Linked DNA regions of Mus musculus. The protein of the gene in region 2 purifies or fractionates together with the protein of the main gene of each other region. This does not show direct contact. Links are inferred from orthologs where the notes say so. Each region holds a gene or a part of one and is shown on either strand. Other genes may lie near its edges. The genes, in order: Psmb6, Psme1 and Psmb9.

Region 1 (3,744 bases), on a different chromosome or scaffold from region 2:
ACGCTCCCCCACCCACTCCCCTACCCACCCACTCCCACTTCTTGGCCCTGGCGTTCCCCTGTACTGAGGCATATAAAGTTTGCACGACCAATGGGCCTCTCTTTCCACTGATGGCCGACTAGGCTATCTTCTGATTCATATGCAGCTAGAGACACGAGCTCCAGGGGGGGTATTGGTTAGTTCATATTGTTGTTCTACCTATAGGATTGCAGATCCCTTCAGCTCCTTGAGTACCTTCCCTAGCTCCTCCATTGGGGGCCCTGTGATCCATCCAATAGCTGACTGTGAGCATCCACTTCTGTGTTTGCCAGGCCCCGGCATAGTTTCACAAGAGACAGCCATATCTGGGTCCTTTTAGCAAAATCTTGCTAGTGTATGCAATGGTGTCAGCGTTTGGAAGCGGATTATGGGATGGATCCCCGGATATGGCAGTTTCTAGATGGTCCATCTTTTCGTCTCAGCTCGAATGGCACGATTTAAAATGTATTAAAAATATAATACATAGGTGAGAATGTGTAACGGTGGAAACCCTCAGATATGGCAGGGGTGATTGTCAAGGGGTATAGATGCTCCCAAAAAACAATTGTAGCTTCTTCAAAAGTTCTTGTGGGACCCGGGAAGTAGGTACCCCGGACTATTGAAAACACGACCTGACCATTCCAGTTTGTACTCTTATCTTGTGGGTTCTTTGAACTAGGACACCAATCAGGTTATAGTGTATCCAACCTGTTAACATTGCGACACAACGTTGTTATTTACAAAACCCACATACTTCAGACTATACAATCAAGTTACCAAAACAAACAAACGACCCCCCCCACACACACACACACACACCTAAAACCTTATAATGTAAATTAGGCTTCATTTCCAAGTATCCTTTGCCTCCGGGAGCCACAAGCCTCTGGTGAGGCAAATCTTTGAGAAGAGGCTCCGCCCTTTTCCCCCCTTCCTAGACCCGCCTCTTTTTTTTTTTTTTTTTGGTAATTTGACACACTGCCGTAAAGTGCCCACTGACTCTAACGACGAGTTCCTACCTCTGTCTTTTCCCTTCTGCCGTCAAGCAGCTTCGCTCCCAGAAGGCCACAGAGGCGGACTAAAGAGAGTGACGGAGCGCTTTACGACGGTTGCTTTGTGGCAGAGTAGCAGAGGAAGATGGCGGCCGCCTTAGCTGTTCGTCGAGCGGGGTCTGCACCGGCCTTTGGGCCGGAGGCTCTCACCCCAGACTGGGAAAACCGGGAAGTCTCCACAGGGGTGAGGAAAGAGCCAGAGTTCGGAAGACATGTACTAGGCCTGACGGGAGGAAAAACATGAAGCCCGAGTGGGTTTGACTGAGTGGGTTGGGGGGGGGGGAGCGCTGTGTTCTGCGAGAGGGAGAGGGATTCCTTGAATGCTGGCGTGGGGTGATACCTTTCGTGATGAGAGGTGAACAGTAGGCTGAAGCATAAGAGTCTGAATCCTGGGGTTTGGAGATTGTAGTTTTTATATTCTCTGACGTGTTGAGCCCCCTTAAGATTTGATAATAGGTTCGCGGAGCACGAATTTTGCATTATAAAATCCGGGTGAAGAATTATTGAGGTCGGTATATACTCGAGAATGCGGTAAGGCTAAAAGAGTTACCTTTTTTACACTATTCTTCCCAGACCACGATCATGGCTGTGCAGTTTAATGGGGGCGTGGTTCTAGGAGCGGACTCCAGGACAACCACTGGGTGAGCTCAAAACAGAAAGTCTTCCCGTTTCCCCTACTCCAAACATATACCATTCCTGCCTGTCAGCCCATCCTTACCCTCCTCAGACCACTGTGGCAAGAGAAGTTTCTCCACTACCTGGAGATAATAAGGACTTGTTCCTAATTCTGTGGTTTCCAGGCCCCCTCACCCTTTGGTGAACTACCAGTAAAGGTCTGTTCTCCATTCATCCGGCTTCATTTTCCATGAGGACTAGTAGGTGGTAGCAGTATTTGTATCCCTGGAGCTGCAGGGAGTAGACGGTGATGTGGTGGAGGAGGGAGGCAAGTGGGCTCCTTCTCACTGTTTCCGCCATCCTGCAGGTCCTACATCGCCAATCGAGTGACTGACAAGCTGACCCCTATCCACGATCACATCTTCTGCTGCCGCTCAGGCTCAGCCGCTGATACCCAAGCAGTGGCAGACGCTGTCACTTACCAGCTTGGTTTCCACAGGTACTTGTGGGCAGGGGAGGAACAACGACCCTGAAGGCTCTGGAACATAAGGCACTAAAAGGCCTGACTCCAGATCCTGATATTGCTTTGTTTGTGATCTTCCAACCCCACCTTCTAGTATTGAACTGAACGAGCCTCCACTAGTCCACACAGCCGCCAGTCTCTTTAAGGAGATGTGTTACCGGTACAGAGAAGATCTGATGGCAGGAATCATCATTGCAGGCTGGGACCCTCAAGAAGGAGGGCAGGTCAGGCCCTCCTCACCAGAGTACTGGAGTCACACCTCTGATGCTCCACCCCTTCGGCCATTTTGTTTGTCTGTCTGTCTGTCCGTCCTGTATGCATGTATCCTTATGGGTACATGTGTGTGGAGGCCAGAGGTGTGCCAGGGTTGTCTTCCTCATGAGACAGTCTCACTGAAGATAGAGCTCACTTTTAGCTAGGCTGCCTATCCAATGAGCTCTAGCAATTATACACCCTGCACCCTACTCCCAGAGCTGGGGTTACAGATACACATGCCCAGCTTTTACATAAGTGCTGGGGATTTGAAATCAGGTCTTCATACTTGCCTTAGCAGGCCCTTTACCACCCAAGCCATCCCTAGTCCCCACTCCAAACACCTTTTTTTTTTTAAGTTTCTCTTTCTGTCTCTACCTCACCATTAACTTTCCCGAGACCAAAATCAAAAGGGATGGGTGAATGTGTTGGGAAAGGGTGCAACTGGTGGCTTTTCTCCCCCCTCCCATCTGGCAGGTGTACTCTGTTCCCATGGGGGGTATGATGGTAAGACAGTCCTTTGCCATCGGAGGCTCCGGGAGCTCGTACATCTATGGCTATGTTGATGCTACGTATCGGGAAGGCATGACCAAGGACGAATGTCTGCAGTTCACTGCCAATGGTGAGACTCTGTGCTTCCACGCCTGTGAACTTCAGCCCTCGTTCCCAAGCTGTGCCAAGGGTCCTCACGTTCAGCTACTAACTCCAAACCCACTGTCCTCGTTTTATCTACAGCTCTCGCTTTGGCCATGGAACGCGACGGCTCCAGTGGAGGGGTGATCCGCTTGGCAGCCATTCAGGAGTCAGGGGTAGAGCGGCAGGTGCTTTTGGGAGACCAAATCCCCAAGTTCACCATTGCCACGTTGCCACCTCCCTGAGGCCTGGTGTTCTAGGGAGTAGTAAAGGATGGTCCATACCGACGCAGAAGCTAATAAACAGTTTGTTAAAGAGACGTTTCTGTGTGAAGGTTCTTGACTTCAACTTCAACTTGCCAAAACCATTGTCTTGCGTAAACTATTGCACTGAGCTCGGTAGGAATTAGAGAGGTAAGGAAGGTTTATCAGTGCGCTGTTCTTTTATCATTACTAGCATTATTGGATTATTTTGGGGATGGCTGGTTGCATTATGTTTTTAAATAAAATGGTTTGTTTTATGTGCATTGTTGTTCTGCCTGCATGTATGTGTGAGGGTGCCAGATTATTGAAATTTGAGTTACAGACAGTTGTGAGTTGCCCTGTGGGTGCTGGGAATTGAAACCAGGCCTTTGAAAGAGCAGCCAGTGCT
Region 2 (3,732 bases):
AGCTATCACTAAGCCCTTGCAGAAAGTTTGCCTGGCTCCTGTTTAAACCATTGTATTATCCTGACTCAAAAACAAAACAAATGACAACAACAAAAATGGCTGGTATCAGAGTCACAGGTGCCAGTGGCCGTACTGAGCGGGGAAAGTACTTTCTGAAAAATGGTGGCGGAACATTTGAAGAATGATGGCAGAACATTCTCTCAGAAAAATTGACATCCAAGCTGAGAACTGGGTGAGGACATTAAGGGGAAGAGTGTTGCAGATTTCTCAAGGGCAGAGTCCTTGGAGCTGAATAAACACTGCCTACAAGTATTTGCTTGTGTAATGAATGAGTGTGGAAAGCAATGGACTTGAAGAGGATTGTGAAAGAAAAGTCTTTATGGATTTTATCATAGAGGCCTGAGTCCCTGCTGTGGGGGAGTGGTTTATTGGGGAATAGAGGGTGCCACAATGGCTTTGTGCAGAGCTGATTGACTCTTGTATAAGGATGGTGCCAGCATCTCCGCATAATCGTCTGGTGGGCGGGAGTATATTAGGCAGGGGACCACGCTGGGAAGACGAAGAGAGACCAGATCATACTCCAGATCATTAAGGATTTTAAACCCCCATGTAAGGCTTATTTATTGCCCTGGCCCTAGCAGAAGCAGGGGGTGCCGGGAAATGGCAGGCGAGGATGGGAAGGGGCAGGGGTGCTGGCGTTGGTTGGGAGGCGGGCCTGGCTGCCAAACGGAGAGACCCGAGCGCCGGGCGGAAACGCTACTCCGGCTGCTGGCGGAGCCCCCGCCTCTCAGTAGGCTGTCCCCGCCTCCTCCAGTCCCTCCACTCCCCAAACCCAGGAAGGCCGTGCAGGTTTCGAGCTGTGCTTTCGCTTTCCCTTCCCGCTGCCCACCCCAGGTTCCTCGTGCGGCGCTCACCACCACCCCCCGGCTCTGGCCATGGCCACACTGAGGGTCCATCCCGAAGCCCAAGCCAAGGTGAGCGTTGCGGGTTCGAGTGGGGAGTAGAGGCTTTAGAGAGGCGTGGTTCAGAGCAGACCAGAGCTCTGGGGGAGCCCACTTCCTAGCCCCCCTCACCTGAGTGGGGGTTGGGGGGGTTCTGCTCCCTAGCTACTGCCAGAAGCACCTGATCCCTTGGGAGTAGGTGAGGCGGCTGTGGTCCAGTGGGGTGAAATGGAGCCTAGAAGCTAGTGTGAAGTCTGCTGGCTTGGGGCCAGGGCTACACACAGAGACCTTGAGAGGGACTTGCCCTAGCCACCTCAGACTTTCCCTCGGAAAGGGCACGCACCTGCACTCTCTCTGCCCACTGTCTTAGGGTTCTGTTTGGTTTGAGACAGGGTCCCTCTATTATGTAGCTCTGGCTTTCCTGAAACTGGATATGTAGACCAGGCTGGCCTTGAACTCAGAGTTCCACCTGTCTGTACCTCTGGAGTGCTAGGATTAAAGGCCTGTGGTACCACGCCTGGCCACAGGGCTCTCTTATCGCCTCTTGCACAACTCTGGTGACCCAGAAATAAATAAATATATATATACATACACACACACACATACATATATATTTTTTGATTGTTTTGTTTTTCGAGACAGGGTTTCTCTGTGTAGCCCTGGCTGTCCTAGAACTCACTTTGTAGACCAGGCTGGCCTTGAACTCAGAAATCCACCTGCCTCTGCCTCCTGAGTGCTGGGATTAAAGGCGTGTGCCATCACACCCAGCTTGCCCAGAAATATTCTTATCCCCAAATTCAGCCTCCCTTGGGGATCCATTGAACTCTTCCCTGATTCAGGTGTGCTGAAAACTACCATACCACCCCAGGCCACCCTATATAGGGACCCATCTGACTTTCTTCAGATGTGGCTTCTCTATTCCCCAAGTCAGCCCCTACACCTAAAGGGAACTGTCCTCAAAAGAACTAGCCTTAAAGCTAGGTTTCTGAAGGGTTGCCTATCTATACCCTACAGGTGGATGTGTTCCGTGAAGACCTGTGTAGCAAGGTAAGACCTAACTCATCAGGGACCCCACCCCCACCCAGCTCCCCCAACTCTGGCCTCCCTCGCTGGGCAGTGTGAGCCCTTACATCACTGCCTTGGAAAGGGTGTTTGCTTCTGACCCTGTCCTCCTCCACTGTCTTACCCAGACAGAGAACCTGCTTGGGAGCTATTTTCCCAAGAAAATCTCAGAGTTGGATGCGTTCTTAAAGGTACTCGGGGGCTCCCCAGGCAAGGACTCAAGAGGAGCCCAGGGATGGGGGTGGGGTGAGATGAGAGGAACACCCTCATCTCCAGCCGTACCACTAGGAGCCAGCTCTCAATGAAGCCAACCTGAGCAATCTGAAGGCTCCATTGGACATCCCAGTACCCGATCCAGTCAAAGAGAAAGAGAAGGAGGAGCGGAAGAAGCAACAGGAGGCAAGCTGGGAGACCTGGGAGGTGGGCCAGCCATAGAGAGCATCAGCCTCAGTCCTGTCTTCCTCCCTACAGAAGGAAGAGAAGGAAGAGAAGAAGAAAGGGGACGAAGACGACAAAGGTACGGGGAAGCGAGGTGCTGGGAAGACACTGGTGACCCAGAGCTTCCAGGCTGCGGTTCTGCTTTCCCCTTTCCAAACTTCGCACGCCCAGTCATTCCCTGACCCACTGCGCGCTCTCTAGGTCCCCCCTGTGGCCCAGTCATTCCCTGACCCACTGCGCGCTCTCCAGGTCCCCCCTGTGGCCCAGTGAACTGCAATGAGAAGATTGTGGTCCTCCTGCAACGCCTAAAACCTGAGATCAAGGATGTCACTGAGCAACTCAATCTGGTGAGCTCTTCCGCCTTCGTCTCGGCTCCAGGCAGTGTCCTCAATGGTCCGGGCCAGGGCTCAATGTGGGCAGACGAGGGAAGACTGGGAACCTGGGAGTCGGGGTATGTATATGGAGGGGAAGGAAGGATGTGGTGATAAAGCCAAGACGCGTTCTTTGCTCCAAGGTCACTACCTGGTTGCAGCTACAGATACCTCGGATAGAGGATGGGAATAATTTTGGCGTGGCTGTCCAGGTAAGAGCACTGTCCCCTCAATCTACAGCCCTACTGTGCAACCAGCCTGAGCTTCCCCAGCTCTCCACTTTCTTCCTCAGGAAAAGGTGTTTGAGCTGATGACCAACCTTCACACCAAGCTGGAAGGCTTCCACACGCAGATCTCCAAGTGAGTGGCCTCATCACAACACCCTCAGCGCACTCTGCTTTGGGGACAGGCCCGGGGCGCCCGCCTTCTCTTTCCACTCTCTACATACTACTTCCACTTTCCACAGGTACTTCTCCGAGAGGGGTGACGCCGTGGCCAAAGCAGCCAAGCAGCCCCACGTGGTAGGTGAGGCCCAGGTCAGGCTGCTCCCGGGGAAGACAGATTTCAAGTCAGGGCTAACTGTTGAGTTTCTAACTGCAGGGTGACTATCGGCAGCTGGTGCACGAGCTGGACGAGGCGGAGTACCAGGAGATCCGTCTGATGGTCATGGAGATCCGAAATGCTTATGTGAGGAAGGGGGAGGAGGGCGGGGGTGGACAGAAGCACCTTCCCCAGACCATCAAATTTCTGACCAAGCAGTCTTGGGGTGGAGGATGACAACAGCTAAAAATGGGATACAGAACTACCGGGGGGCCCGTGGCTGACCTCCACCACTCTGTGCTCCGATAGGCTGTGTTATATGACATCATCCTGAAGAACTTTGAGAAGCTCAAGAAGCCCCGTGGAGAAACCAAGGGAAT
Region 3 (3,744 bases), on a different chromosome or scaffold from region 2:
GGGGAGGGGAGGGGAGGGGAGGGGAGGGGAGGGGAGGGGAGGGGAGGGGAGGGGAGGGGAGGGGAGGGGAGGGCAGGGGAGGGGAGAGGAGAGGAGAGGAGAGGAGAGGAGAGGAGAGGAGAGGAGAGGAGAGGAGAGGAGAGGAGAGGAGAGGAGAGGAGAGAGAAGAGGAGAGGAGAAGATGGCGGTGTGGAAAGAAACCTTCACATTTGGGCTATGATGTGAAGTTCTGCTCCCAGAAGACCCTGTCCCCAACGCCCTTGTCTGGACCCCTTCTCGGGCCTGGGTCCTTCTCTTTCCGCCTAAGTTGCCTCCTTAGTGTCTCTGACGCTTCCCGGGACTACTTTACTCTCCCTTTCTGCCTGGAATGCCCATTGCCCTGTCCCCTGTGGCCTGCTCTTTCACCCAGTCTCCCTTACCAAGGCAAGAGAGAATCAAGAGAACCAGAACCAGGTAGAGACGTCTCTTCTTAGGGCCCAGGAAGCCCAGCATCCGACACAGCATGTCTCCAGCGTCCCTGTTGCCGCTGGGCGCCCAGAGGCTCCCCAACTTGTGCCACAGGGCGGCTGCGGGCAATGCTGCCACATAACTGATAGCGAAGGCATCTGGACGACTGTTCCAGTACAGTAATCCAGCGCTGTCACCCTCCCGGAGTGTTCCCCAGGCGGCCAGCTCTCGGAACAAGGCAAGTCCAGGCAGGGCCAAACTCAGTGCGGCCACCAGCGGCTGCAAAGCAGCCAGCCAGCCATGGGCTCCTGCGGTGACCCCGAGGACCCCGCGGACCCCTAGTCCTAGGATGGCCCAGCGACTCAGGCCCACCACCCAGACCCGGAGCAGCGGCACCTCGGGAACCAACAGGGAGAAGATTCCCGGGAGCATGGGCCGCAGCAGCAGCCAGTCCACCAGAAGGAGCAGGGCGGCCGCCAGCCAGACGTGCGCAGCCATCGAGCGTGAGCTGTCCAGAGTCTGGTCCTAGCCTGGGACTCTCGACGTCCGCGCTGCACAGGAGTCTCCGTGGGGAAGGAAGAAGGGCGGGTCCGAGGGCGTGCGCGTAAAGTCCCGGGAACCCGCTCGAGCTGGTGGAGCTGACTAGAAGTGCTGGCGTTTAGAGGAAGAAGAAACCGAAAGCCGACCTCGAATCACTAGACACGCCTCCTTCTGAGACTGGCTTGCTCAGGCTGTTCTGGAAGCTGCCGCTGAAGCTGTAGTTGGAGTTCTGCCTAGCAGCCCTGGCCTGTCGTGTTCTTCTCCATGAATCTCATTCTCCTCTTCTTCCCCAGCCCCCTTAACTTGCTTGCGTGAATTTTCCCATCCCAGGCCCCACCCCAGATTGAGGGCAGGACCCTCTGTCGTCACCTGTCTCTGGGCAGATTTGCCCTGCTCAGGTTTGCTCTGGGCGCCAAATGCTGGTAGAACGGCACGCCCCTTGCGCGATGATGGGGCGGGGCCTCAGTCTGCAAGTTGCCTGCACCGCGCGCAGCCGCTGATTGGAAAGCCGAGCCCCGCTCTGCTGAGATGCTGCGGGCAGGAGCACCTACCGCCGGCTCGTTCCGGACGGAAGAAGTCCACACCGGGGTAATGGGTCTCGGGGTGAGAGTCAGCGGGTGGAGTGATCAGGGACCCCTAAAGCTCTGGAAGTAAACCAAGAGACTTAGGAAGCTTGTAGCGCCCAGCGCTTGCGCTCCACAGTGAACGTAGGGTATCCCTGCTCAGAAGTGTGGTGTCCAGGGGTCTGTGGAGGGATCCGCATGCGAAGCTGGTGAGAAGGTGCGTTCTTTGGCTTGAGCTGGAAGCGTCTAAGGGAAGTTGCTCCAAAGCGCTTTCGCTTTCACTCTAGACTGCGCAGTTGGGGTTACTGGCTAAATCAAGTGAGGGGCTTGGGGACCCCTGCAAAAGAGGTGCTGAGGTGTCCTGGATGAAGCACCTGAGAGAAGGTAATATGGAGGCTCACTGAAAAGGACCTACCTACACATCATACAGATCTTTGCTTAACCTAGCCCCAGACAGCCCCCACCCTGAGTGAGGACAAGCTCTCTGGCGCCAGGATTGAGGGGGAGATGGGGATGATCGGTGGTCCTCCTTGTTCCAGGTGCTGCCCTGCAGCACACTCCACCCCACCCTGTCCCAACACCGTCATTCCCATGCTTGCCTGAGAACTTTGCCCAGACCTAGGAGCTGGGAAGATGGCAGCTGGTTTCTGCTCTCTAAAAGCCACCAACCACAGTGTTAACATGGTGTGGAGGAACAAAGTGGACATTTCTGGCCTTTTACTTGTGCTCAGAAAGCACACTCGCGGGCAGGGTCCCCGGAGATCAGAACGACATGGAGTGGACAGAAAGGTTGGAAAAAGTCTCCCTCGCTGCCACGGAGCTGTGGGACTTAGAAATCAAATCAATCAAGGGTTCAGAGTGAGACCTGAGTCAACTTGGGAAGCTCATTCGTCTCCATAAGTCAGTTTTCTCAGTGCACCCAAGGGTCTCCTAAGGTGCCTTTTAACCTAGAAGGTGTGGGGGAAGTAGATGTGTCTACCCTCCTTCACTTATCCGTAATTCTTTCCTTGACCTGGAAAAACTCTGCTATCCAGAAGTCCTTTCCCCTGGCTGCAGAGACTTCGCTTAAGTGAAATTTGTGCCCTACCTGAAGGATCCTTGCTGCTTCTGTGTCTCGACTCCTGGCCATGTTAACCCCCGGCCTCTCTGTGTCCCTTGTTCAGTAACACTAAGGCTCCCCTTCTGATAAAGTAAGGTTGCAGGTGGGGGATCCAGGACCAGGAAAGACCTGGTCTTGTGTCACAGTAATTCACAGTAATGATGCATGTGGTACGCAATTCACAAGCAGCGGGGCCGGTTTCCTGGGCCTTCCTCTCAGTTCTTGCTCTCCTCATGCAGATTGTGTCTGCCTCCAGGAACCATCCTTGCTTTTCAGGGTGACCTTGAGTCGGTCACCTCCTGCATGGACATTTTCTCCTCCTTAAGATGGAGGCTCAAGACGCTCCTAGCTCTGACTTTTCGTACTGTCTCTCTGCAGACAACCATCATGGCAGTGGAGTTTGACGGGGGTGTCGTGGTGGGCTCTGATTCCCGGGTGTCAGCGGGGTGAGTAGTGTCAAAGGCCCGTGTGTTGGAGGGAAGCTGGTGGCCCTAAGTGCACATTTTTCTTGCCCACTTCTGAGGAGTATGATAACCTTCCAAGAAATGAAGCTGATCTTTCCAAAAAAGTATCATAATGCATTGATGGAGAGGCGTCTGGGCCTCTGAATCCATGGCATTCATGAATATTTTGTAGCTTGATGGACATAAAGAAATAGTATCTCGGAGGGACACGGGTAGGTTGTAGATGGACTGTGTTATCTGCAGTTAGGATAAAAGATAAATGGTGGTTTTCTGAAGCAGTTATCTCACTCATTTGCCTGAGTTTGAAGTAAGTTTGATTGGTCTCCCGTCCTGGCTAGTTTGCTCACACACAAGTCAGACTGGGATGACATCCATGCTGTTTCTGCCATGTTCCATAGAACCACCGTTGCCCCTCAAAGTGATGAACTGCAAGGAAATTCTGGAAAGAGGCAATTTTTTTCTCTTGTTTCACTTTTTGTTTTTAGAGACAGGGTTTCTCTGTGTAGCCCTGGCTGTCCTGGAACTCACTTTGTAGACCAGGCTGGCCTCGAACTCAGAAATCCGCCTGCCTCTGCCTCCCAAGTGCTGGGATTAAAAGCGTGAGCCACCACTGCCTGCCATAGAAGCACAC

Evidence for each region.
Region 1: the proteins of Psme1 (region 2) and Psmb6 purify together in Homo sapiens (affinity purification with western blotting; 3 studies listed by BioGRID and IntAct, with this or other methods). This does not show direct contact. The link is inferred for Mus musculus from reciprocal best matches to the Homo sapiens genes PSME1 and PSMB6.
Region 3: the proteins of Psme1 (region 2) and Psmb9 purify together in Homo sapiens (affinity purification with mass spectrometry; 3 studies listed by BioGRID and IntAct, counting the BioPlex papers as one, with this or other methods). This does not show direct contact. The link is inferred for Mus musculus from reciprocal best matches to the Homo sapiens genes PSME1 and PSMB9.

The regions. Positions count from the first base shown.
Region 1 is NC_000077.6:70,524,242-70,527,985, forward strand, and holds Psmb6 (proteasome subunit beta type-6), read left to right. Parts: upstream 1-1,115; 5' UTR 1,116-1,155; coding exon 1,156-1,254; intron 1,255-1,643; coding exon 1,644-1,711; intron 1,712-2,052; coding exon 2,053-2,184; intron 2,185-2,302; coding exon 2,303-2,432; intron 2,433-2,937; coding exon 2,938-3,082; intron 3,083-3,175; coding exon of another isoform or gene 3,176-3,195; coding exon 3,196-3,338; 3' UTR 3,339-3,617; downstream 3,618-3,744. UniProt on the Homo sapiens protein: Component of the 20S core proteasome complex involved in the proteolytic degradation of most intracellular proteins. This complex plays numerous essential roles within the cell by associating with different regulatory particles.
Region 2 is NC_000080.6:55,577,640-55,581,371, forward strand, and holds the start of Psme1 (proteasome activator complex subunit 1), read left to right. Parts: upstream 1-854; 5' UTR 855-935; coding exon 936-974; intron 975-1,955; coding exon 1,956-1,988; intron 1,989-2,131; coding exon 2,132-2,194; intron 2,195-2,291; coding exon 2,292-2,402; intron 2,403-2,474; coding exon 2,475-2,520; intron 2,521-2,690; coding exon 2,691-2,788; intron 2,789-2,955; coding exon 2,956-3,024; intron 3,025-3,104; coding exon 3,105-3,172; intron 3,173-3,278; coding exon 3,279-3,333; intron 3,334-3,412; coding exon 3,413-3,499; intron 3,500-3,661; coding exon 3,662-3,732. UniProt on the Homo sapiens protein: Implicated in immunoproteasome assembly and required for efficient antigen processing. The PA28 activator complex enhances the generation of class I binding peptides by altering the cleavage pattern of the proteasome.
Region 3 is NC_000083.6:34,185,081-34,188,824, reverse strand, and holds the start of Psmb9 (proteasome subunit beta type-9), read left to right. Parts: upstream 1-1,494; 5' UTR 1,495-1,515; coding exon 1,516-1,575; exon of another isoform or gene 1,576-1,767; intron 1,768-3,027; coding exon 3,028-3,095; intron 3,096-3,744. Other genes in the region: Tap1 (antigen peptide transporter 1), read right to left, coding at 420-945. UniProt on the Homo sapiens protein: The proteasome is a multicatalytic proteinase complex which is characterized by its ability to cleave peptides with Arg, Phe, Tyr, Leu, and Glu adjacent to the leaving group at neutral or slightly basic pH.